2 linked regions of the Nothobranchius furzeri genome follow. The protein of the gene in region 1 binds, or shares a complex with, the protein of each later gene. Links are inferred from orthologs where the notes say so. Each region holds a gene or a part of one and is shown in the gene's direction. Other genes may lie near its edges.

Region 1 (4,092 bases):
TCTGTCCGGAGCCGGGATCGAACCTGCAACCTTCCGATTACTGGACAACCCGCTCTGTTGAGCTACTGCTGCCCCAATGTAAACACTGTGAATAATCTACTAAATACTAATGGCGAAACATTATCCCACAAAGTCTTCTTAGAAAAATATAACATTAATACTTCACAAGAAGAGTATAACATGGTAATTAAATCCATCTATGTTTGTATTTTCTATTTAACACAGACCATACAATCAAACATCATCTTATCTGCAACAGCCAGACCTCCAACTATTTCTGGGATTCCAATCACAGATAAGAAATTTAATAATTCTGTTATTAGAAAAGTAATTGATCCTGTCTCAACCCCGATATGTAAACACTGATGGACTTTTATGAATACAAAACTCTGGAACAGGATCTTTCTGCTACCTCACCAATATGTTATTGTGAATAAGATAAAAGAAATTTGATTCAAAATTGTTCATAGATATTACCCGTCAAAAGCAAACATCTGTATTTTTTTCCAAATGTTTCTGACATATGTACTTTCTGTGGTTGTAAGGGAGAAACTATTGAACATGTTTTTGTTGATTGCTTTCATGTAACTTTGTTTTGGTTCCATTTAAAAAGATACATTTCCAAAAAGTTACAAAAAAAATATTTCTTTAAGCAAATATGAAATACTTCTTATTGTTACTAACCCTCATTTATCATCCAATGAAAAATACATAATTAACTTAGTCATTATTTTAGCAAAATATTATTTACATAAAATGATTTTTCAGAAAAGTATCCCCTTCTATAATTTCAGAATTACAGACCTTATGAAATATTGGAACAGCATTGAAAAATTAAAAATGAAGAACAACAAACTAACAAAGACCATCAACTTATTTCATCATTTCAACTTAGACACAGCAGACCCCTAAGTGTTATGTTTCTAAGTTATATATGTTTTCGTCAGTTTTTTTTATTTCTTGGTTTTTTGTTTAATAGTTTCCTAATGTTGCATGTATATTATTGCAATTCTAAACAACTGTAAAATGTGATCCATGGATTTATTGAATGTGTTTTCTGAATAAAACCTGTAAAAAAAATTAATAAATTAAAAAAACACCACGGACCAGGAAGTAGGTTTGGCTCTCTGACCTATGATTGGAGGCCGTGATAAAATGGGTGGGACGCTGCATTGTGATTGGTTGAGCTGTTGAAGTAGCATCCTGGTATTGGTTGTTAGGGTGTGTTGGTCTGTGAGGTCTTAGCGCTAATGCAATATAGCATCAACCTAACGGAGGACGAGTCATCTACGCCCATGTATCGATTTCAATACATTAGTAAGCAAATTACAGCATGATGCCTTGTTTTAATGTAGAATTTCGTCTTTGTTTTAATTGACCACGCTCTGCGTGTCCAGTTTACGAGCAGTTTTTACTGTAAAAAGACGAAAGTAGACAAGTTCGCCACCGTTAGCCTAAAACGAAGGTTTAGCTTCTCCGTTCTACCAACACAACGCTAGCTGAGCTAAACAGATACGACGGTTTGTTGAAGTGTTCCGTTCCTTATTGTTATTGATTAATTATGGGGTTAATTTAAAGGCGTTTAAACAGCAAACTGGTCTGTTCGCTAACTCGGTGTTCGGACATTTGTTTACATTTACATTTAGTTTAACTGCTTAGCGGTGATAAATAAGTGATAATCTGACTTGATTGGACCTTTGAGCTCATTACTGAAATAATCAAACGTCATTCATACGCGTGACAGAGTCAAAAAGGGAAACGAGTTTAAATCTTTAGACCCTTAAAACTTACTTAAACCATTATGTCGTTAAGCCAAATCGTTCAATAATGCAATGTTTATTGTTCCATTTTCTTTTGCAGTTCCAGTTTAACGTGTCAGGAAGCTCCTAACAGTCGCAAACATGTACGGAAAAGCGGAGTTCCGCCCGGTTCACATGGACTTCAGCTTTCTCATCCAGTCCTGCAGCTCAAACATCCAGAAGATCACACAGAACAGTAAGAGGTTTCTCCTGTTCCTCGCGCTTCAGCCTGGTGGGAAATCACATGCCACATGGTCACGTGATGACCATGTGAATGAGCTTTATAGCCTGTTTGTTATCCCCACGGTATTATCCACTGATCATCATCTCTCCAGGGTCGCACTTCAGTCTTTTTGGCTTCTTTAATGTTATTTCTTCAGAGGTGTGAACAGCAGGTCTCTTGATGAATGATCAGTTTCTCGTTTTACAACAAAATTATTTAATAATAAGGGGGGAGTGAGTATGTAACAGGGTGTGGTGTCACTTAATTATTATTAACAATTACTAATAATTATGAGGGGAATTTTTTTTTGTGTTGTTACTGATGTCTGTTGTCCCTCTGGAGTGCTGCAGGAGTACACACAGGGATTTATGGGGGTTGGATGAGGATAATGAAAGAAAGAAAGTAAATCAGTGTTTTGTGAACTGTTTAATTTGACATAAACATGGCAAACATGCTTTCTTGTCATTGTGTGTGAAAAACAGTGTAGAAATAAAAACAAACGACATGTGTTAATAGAGAAATAGCTGGCAAGCCGTGCTGACGCATGACGCATGCGCCGTGAGCGGTTTTGGTACTTTTTGGGTTGCAGCCACTCGCAGCGCTGCTTCAACCCTCACGAGGGACGAGCAAAATATCAAACATGCCAGAAATCAGTGCGAGCTCACGATTGCTGATAGGTAGCTGGTCACGTGGTGTTAATTGCCTCTCGTAACCACCTGTATACTACACGACGCTCTGCACAAAACTTGCCCCGATCTTGTAGATTCTCGCACGAGGGGAAAATCGGCTCAAAAAAGTGAAAGAGTCGCACAGTGCCCGCCTGGCTTAAAGGAACAAATATGATTTTGTAGTTCAAACAACAATGCTAAATATGTTAATTTACATTTGAGAACATTACCTCATGTCCAGTTGAAACTGGTATTGTTTAATGAGTATTGTATTGGTTTTCTCAATGACAGGAAATTGAAACATTGATATAATTTGCTTTTCGTTAAGACAAAATCGATATCGGCAAGTCAGGTTTTTCTCAAGATCGGTGATTGGCCAAAAACTGCAATCGGTGCACCCCTACTTCTCACTTTTTGCAGGAAAACCTAAGTGATATAAAGCTGATTTCTGTGTTTTAGTTCCGTCAGCGGGCTAGCATGTCCAGCTTTTCTGAGAAAGTACGACTTGAAAATGGAATACTTCCTGAGACCAAATCCATTCATCCCGTTCCATCAGCCATTGTGGGCATAAAAAATAAGTAACATCAAAAGTATTAATGTGCATGGCTCACAAGAATGTGTTTTGCTAGCGACACTTGGTAGAGATAGCTTCTCTCAGACCGTCGGACCAATCGGAGGACAAAAAACCCCTGATGTCACCGTGAGCCAACTACCTGGCTCAGCGATGTGATTCTGAAAGCTCACTGGTTAAAAAAACCAGATCCCATAGTAGAGGTTAACCAATGTTGGATTTTCTATTACTGATGCCGATAAGCAGAGCTAATGGTCAGCTGATGGCCGATATCTAGACATCAGTTGATACACAAAATTTCTGAAGCTAAATCAGTTTTTGAACTTGTAATTTAACCAACTGTTAAACCTTAATTTTGTGCACGGCTCAGTGTTAAAATCAGACATCTAACTCAAGTGAATCAAACAAAATTATTTGTTATGCAGAAGTTACTCAGGAACATAACTCTGCAGCAGCACCAGGCTGCCTGAGGATGTGCCTGACTTTAAATCTGCTTTACTAAGGAGATACTGTATATTGGCATTGGGCGATAAATCACTCTACCACTACTATATGGTATAACTAACAAAGGCCCGTTCTACTGATTCTGAACGCTTTGGGCAGATTGGACTCTCCCTGGCATCAATAGAGGCTGAAATCTGATTGGAAGAAAAATCCAGATGTAGAGGACACGGTGTCGGTACAGGATCGGCTCGGGGTCCTTCGACTGCCGATGACGTCACATTACTGCAAATCTACTCGGCTTTCACACATACGTTTTGGAAAGACATCAGCAGTTTTGTTAATAAATTCTTGTTTGTTAACACCTAATTGTTTTCTTTATAATTGTAA
Region 2 (4,372 bases), on another chromosome or scaffold:
TCTTACTGGTTTCCAGCCCAGAGGAATGTATCCAGGTCCAACAAACATAGCATTAAAGTAGTTGTAGAGAATGAGCACAGTCCAGTTGATGAGCATGATGAAGTTAATGCTTCCTCCTGTGGTGTCTAGCGGCCAGTACCAAATGATGGAGTCTATTATTGCCATGGTTGAGCAAATAGCTATGACAGACAAAGCTATGATTGGACCCCAGTGGCACAATCTTCGAACCTCATGAAGGTTCTCGAATGTCACAATGGTTGACAGGAAATTCATTTTCTCACATGAAGATTAGTTCAGTTTTCTACTTTTCTGAGATGTATTGACCCACGTTGGATGTGCTACGCGCTTCCTCTGCTACCTTGTGCTGTTAACGGTGCACACAATGCACATAATTCATCTCTTCTACCGAGTACCCAGCAAGCGTCCTGGCCTTGAGTAACTTGGGCTCCCTGTGTCCCATTAATCCATGACCCGGTGAAGACCAGCATCGTCTCCTGCCAACACCCGAAGCACACTATCCTCGTGAGAAACTAAAGTTCCCCATCTGTTAGACAGAAATAAAATAATAATTAAAAAAAAAAACATTAACATAGTTGTTTAAAGTGCAAGTGTGTAAATGTAAAGTACTTTGGAGGCAAGCATGCATATAAGAATTATTCTTCCCCGGAAAAATAAAAAAATCAGCTTAGACTTGAGAGATGCAGCATCCTTCAGTAGATCATATCTTGTTTGATTCATAATTTATGCAGAATTTCTCTCATTTTCTATCGTAGCAAATCTTTTCCTCTTCTGTTGATGGTAATACTGTCACTAAACATGAGGAACTTTTCTTTTCCACTTTACTAAATGCAACAAGTATCTATCTGGTTTTAAATTAAACAAAATAAAATATTTAAATGAGTATCCAACCTCACACCATTAGCACCTGCACATTGACTATTAATTAGCTTCTGTTACCAAGCTAGCTAATTTGACACAGTGATATAAACATGGCGACTCTTTAGTCAGCATTTCTGTCAGCTAGTATAACTCGACCAATCAGGATCGGATATATTTTGTAGATGTGTGATTATCAGAGTGCCTACTCGGTTAATAAATATATAAAAATAGATATTCGGTCTTTGGATCTAGTGGCAGCAGTTAGCGAACTAACGTTAGTTAGCCAGCTTGCCAACACGACTAACCTCTAAAGCATTATTGTTACCCTAAAACGCAAAGATGACACGCGGATATGAAGCTATTATTAATATTATTAAAGATAAGTGTTTGATTTAAATTTGTGAGAGGCGAAAAAACTGTCACTTTAAATTACCAACCTAGTCACTTCCTTGTCTTTTGCCGTAGATTTTCTCCGGTGGACGAACTAGGAACCTTTCTCGCCGTGCTTCAGAAGCCAAAATCCCTAAACTATTACAGATACGTTTAAATGCAAACAATTAAATTGTCAATTTTTAAAAAATAATATTACGAAAAACTCGAATGGAGAGGTAAACGCATTCGGCACGTATCGAACTAGTACTATCAAACAAATCCTCTAGTTTCTCGTCGAGCTGTTTTCAGTGCAACTACAGGAAGAGACTCCATTCGGGGATTGTTGTTATTATTCTGAGGTAACCGACAGTCAGATAGCTAATACTCATTTTAAACTCGTTCGACAGAATGTCTTCTGACTTCGAAGCCTACGAACAGGACTTTGGAACAGTCACCGCAGAAATAACTAACAAAATCGGCAAAATTCCTAAACTAAGTGGAGGTAAGACAGTTGAACTTACTATTATTAATCGGTGAGATGCTAGCTAGCATTAGCCATCAAGTCTCAGCTGAGAGGGGTAGCTAATGGTAGCAGGAGATGTGATGCATTTGCAATACATTCCCAACGTTACGCAATTATTGAGTTCTAGATATTTATACGACACCGTGGACATCACTGGCAGATTGTGAGTTTGTAGTTTAGCATGTGATAATTTAGCTCTCAAGTATTTTTTCTGGTTTAACGTTTGTTCCAAGTTGTTCTGTAATCCAGCAAAATAATTCAAACTGAGTATACACGTGTCAGGAATTTATACTTGATATAAGCATAACATCTTGGCAGCTGGCTGATTTTATTGCATGAAGATTTACTTTATTTTGAAGAGTTTGTTGTTGTGTTCAGTCAGACTTCTGTCAGTAGTGGTTCACAGAAAGATAGTTAAACTCCTCTTAAACACGACAGACAGGGAGTCAGCTTTACAGAACGTTTCAAATATGCTTTTGGTCTAAGGAGCTTTGAAAGAAAAGCGTCTGGACTTCTTTGAGTTGCTTGAAGATGTTTCACCTCTCATCCGAGAGGCTTCTTCAGTTCTAAGGTCAAATGGTGGAGAGTCCCAGATTCAAACCCAGTGGGAGTTTCCCCCGAAGAGGGAACAAAAGACCCCCTGATGATCTTCTACATAAACACATGAGCCCAGGTGTGAGGGTGGGTGTGGGTCAGTGTTGCCAGATCCAAAATCCCACAATATTGTACAGAGAGGCCTAAATTATCGTTTTTCAGTACAAATTATCGTACATTATAAATTTGATAATAACGTTCTATAAACGACTTCTCATTCCAATATAATATGACAAAGAAGGTGTTTTATATAACCTTACAGTTTCTCGCGAGAGTAGGCCCTATCGATGTGATTGGGCTATTTATTGTACAGATCCAGAGTCAGTTTTTGTAATAGACAAACAGCCAGAGTTTCGGGTGAGCTCATTGTGAAGCCTGGCCCCACCCTATCATGTGAATTCCTGAGGTCAGATGGCCCAGGATATGCGTGGGCATTGAGGCATCTGGGAAGAGATCTCAGAACTGGATTATAGATGGCAGACAGTTGGTGTCGTAAACCACTGCCTCTGTTCAAAGATGGTTGCTCACAGTGGACATAAATGGCTTCCTTTACTCCTCTTTCAAACCATCTGTCCTCTCTGTCCAAAATGTGAACGTTGGCATCCTCGAAAGAGTGACCTTTGTCCTTTAGATGCAAATGAACTGCTGAGTCCTGTCCCGTGGAGGTGGCTCTTCTATGTTGTGCCATGCGCTTGTGAAGTGGCTGTTTGGTTTCTCTGATGTAGAGGTCTGGGCATTCCTCGCTGCACTGTACAGCATACACCACATTGTTCAGTTTGTGTTTAGGAGTTTTGTCTTTCGGGTGAACCAGTTTCTGTCTGAGTGTGTTGCTGGGTCTGAAGTACACCGGTATGTTGTTTTTGGAGAAAACCCTCCTGAGTTTCTCTGATACACCGGCTACATAGGGGTTGACAAGGTTGTTGCGTCTGTCTTTCTTATCCTCCCTCGCTGGTGTCTGGTCTTCTTTTCTGTGCATCTTTGCTGACTTTATCAATGCCCAATTAGGATAGCCACATGTTTTAAGTGATTCCTTTATATGTGTGTGTTCCTTCTTTTTCCCTTCCGGCTTAGAGGGAACATGTTCTGCCTGGTGGTGTAGGGTCTTGATTACTCCAAGTTTGTGTTCCAGAGGGTGATGTGAGTTGAAGAGGAGGTACTGGTCCGTGTGTGTGGGCTTCCGCTACACTTCAATGTTGAGGTTGCCATTTTCTTCAAAGTGCACAGGAAAGGCAAGCAGTTGTCCTTTATGTTTTCCCTGGTGAACTTGATATTTTTGTCCACGGCGTTGATGTGCGTAGTGAAGGATTCCACTTCTTGTGTTTTGATTTTGACCCAGGTGTCATCCGCATATCTGTACCAGTGGCTGGGTGCTCTCCCTTTAAAAGAGATTTGCTACAGACAAAAACATGGCTGCGCCATGGGCTCCCCCGTGTCACCTATTGTAGCCAACCTTTACTTGGAGGAAGTGGAAAGAAAGGCTCTTGGCTCTACTGGACCAGCTGGATGCAACATCACCAGTGCAACGTACCATGGCAATGTTTCCGGCTTCAGAGACGACCATGTTTCTTTCAATTATATAGGTTTTTTAATCTCTACAATATATTTACAGCTCTACTGTGTTACAATGTTATTAAGAGGCATAAAAACAATGTTTTAAGTAAATTTGTTTTACAAATTTGCCTTTCCTGCTTTATCATTGCCTCATTATACCTACAATGTTGCACAGCCTTTCAGTGTAGAGTTAGCATGTTCTCATGCATGTGTGGGTAGGTACTGCACTTTCCTCCCACGGATCAAAATCGTGCAGGTTAAGTAGAGGCTAAATTATCCCTACGGGTGAGTGTGTGACTGTGTGTCCCTGTGATGGACTGGGTACCTGTCCAGAGTTTTCCTTGCCTCTCATCTGATGACTTCATTAGTTAGACACCATCTCCATGACTCTACTGAGGAAAAGAGATTTAAATAAGTGTGTTTTTATTATTTGGTTTCATTTACATTTATTGA

What was found.
Region 2: the proteins of stx12 (region 1) and vti1a are in contact, whole or in part, in a crystal structure (PDB 2NPS), measured with the Rattus norvegicus proteins. The link is inferred for Nothobranchius furzeri from reciprocal best matches to the Homo sapiens genes STX12 and VTI1A. Residues at the interface, in NP_075228.2 of Rattus norvegicus: Glu185, Ile188, Gln189, Leu191, Glu192, Ile195, Leu196, Val198, Asn199, Phe202, Lys203, Leu205, Ala206, Ile209, His210, Gly213, Ile216, Asp217, Glu220, Val223, Glu224, Ser226, Glu227, Val230, Glu231, Ala233, Ser234, Asp235, Leu237, Gln238; in XP_038945999.1 of Rattus norvegicus: Arg131, Arg134, Ser135, Arg138, Leu139, Ala141, Gly142, Ile145, Ala146, Glu148, Thr149, Ile152, Gly153, Met156, Asn159, Leu160, Asp163, Arg166, Arg169, Ala170, Arg173, Leu174, Glu176, Thr177, Asn180, Leu181, Lys183, Ser184, Ile187, Leu188.

The regions. Positions count from the first base shown.
Region 1 is NC_091751.1:25,527,523-25,531,614, reverse strand, and holds the start of stx12 (syntaxin-12), read left to right. Parts: upstream 1-1,195; 5' UTR 1,196-1,317; intron 1,318-1,392; exon of another isoform or gene 1,393-1,520; intron 1,521-1,860; 5' UTR 1,861-1,901; coding exon 1,902-1,995; intron 1,996-4,092. UniProt on the Homo sapiens protein: SNARE promoting fusion of transport vesicles with target membranes. Together with SNARE STX6, promotes movement of vesicles from endosomes to the cell membrane, and may therefore function in the endocytic recycling pathway.
Region 2 is NC_091756.1:39,753,639-39,758,010, reverse strand, and holds the start of vti1a (vesicle transport through interaction with t-SNAREs homolog 1A), read left to right. Parts: upstream 1-1,499; 5' UTR 1,500-1,659; coding exon 1,660-1,753; intron 1,754-4,372. Other genes in the region: palmitoyltransferase ZDHHC6, read right to left, coding at 7-273. UniProt on the Homo sapiens protein: V-SNARE that mediates vesicle transport pathways through interactions with t-SNAREs on the target membrane. These interactions are proposed to mediate aspects of the specificity of vesicle trafficking and to promote fusion of the lipid bilayers.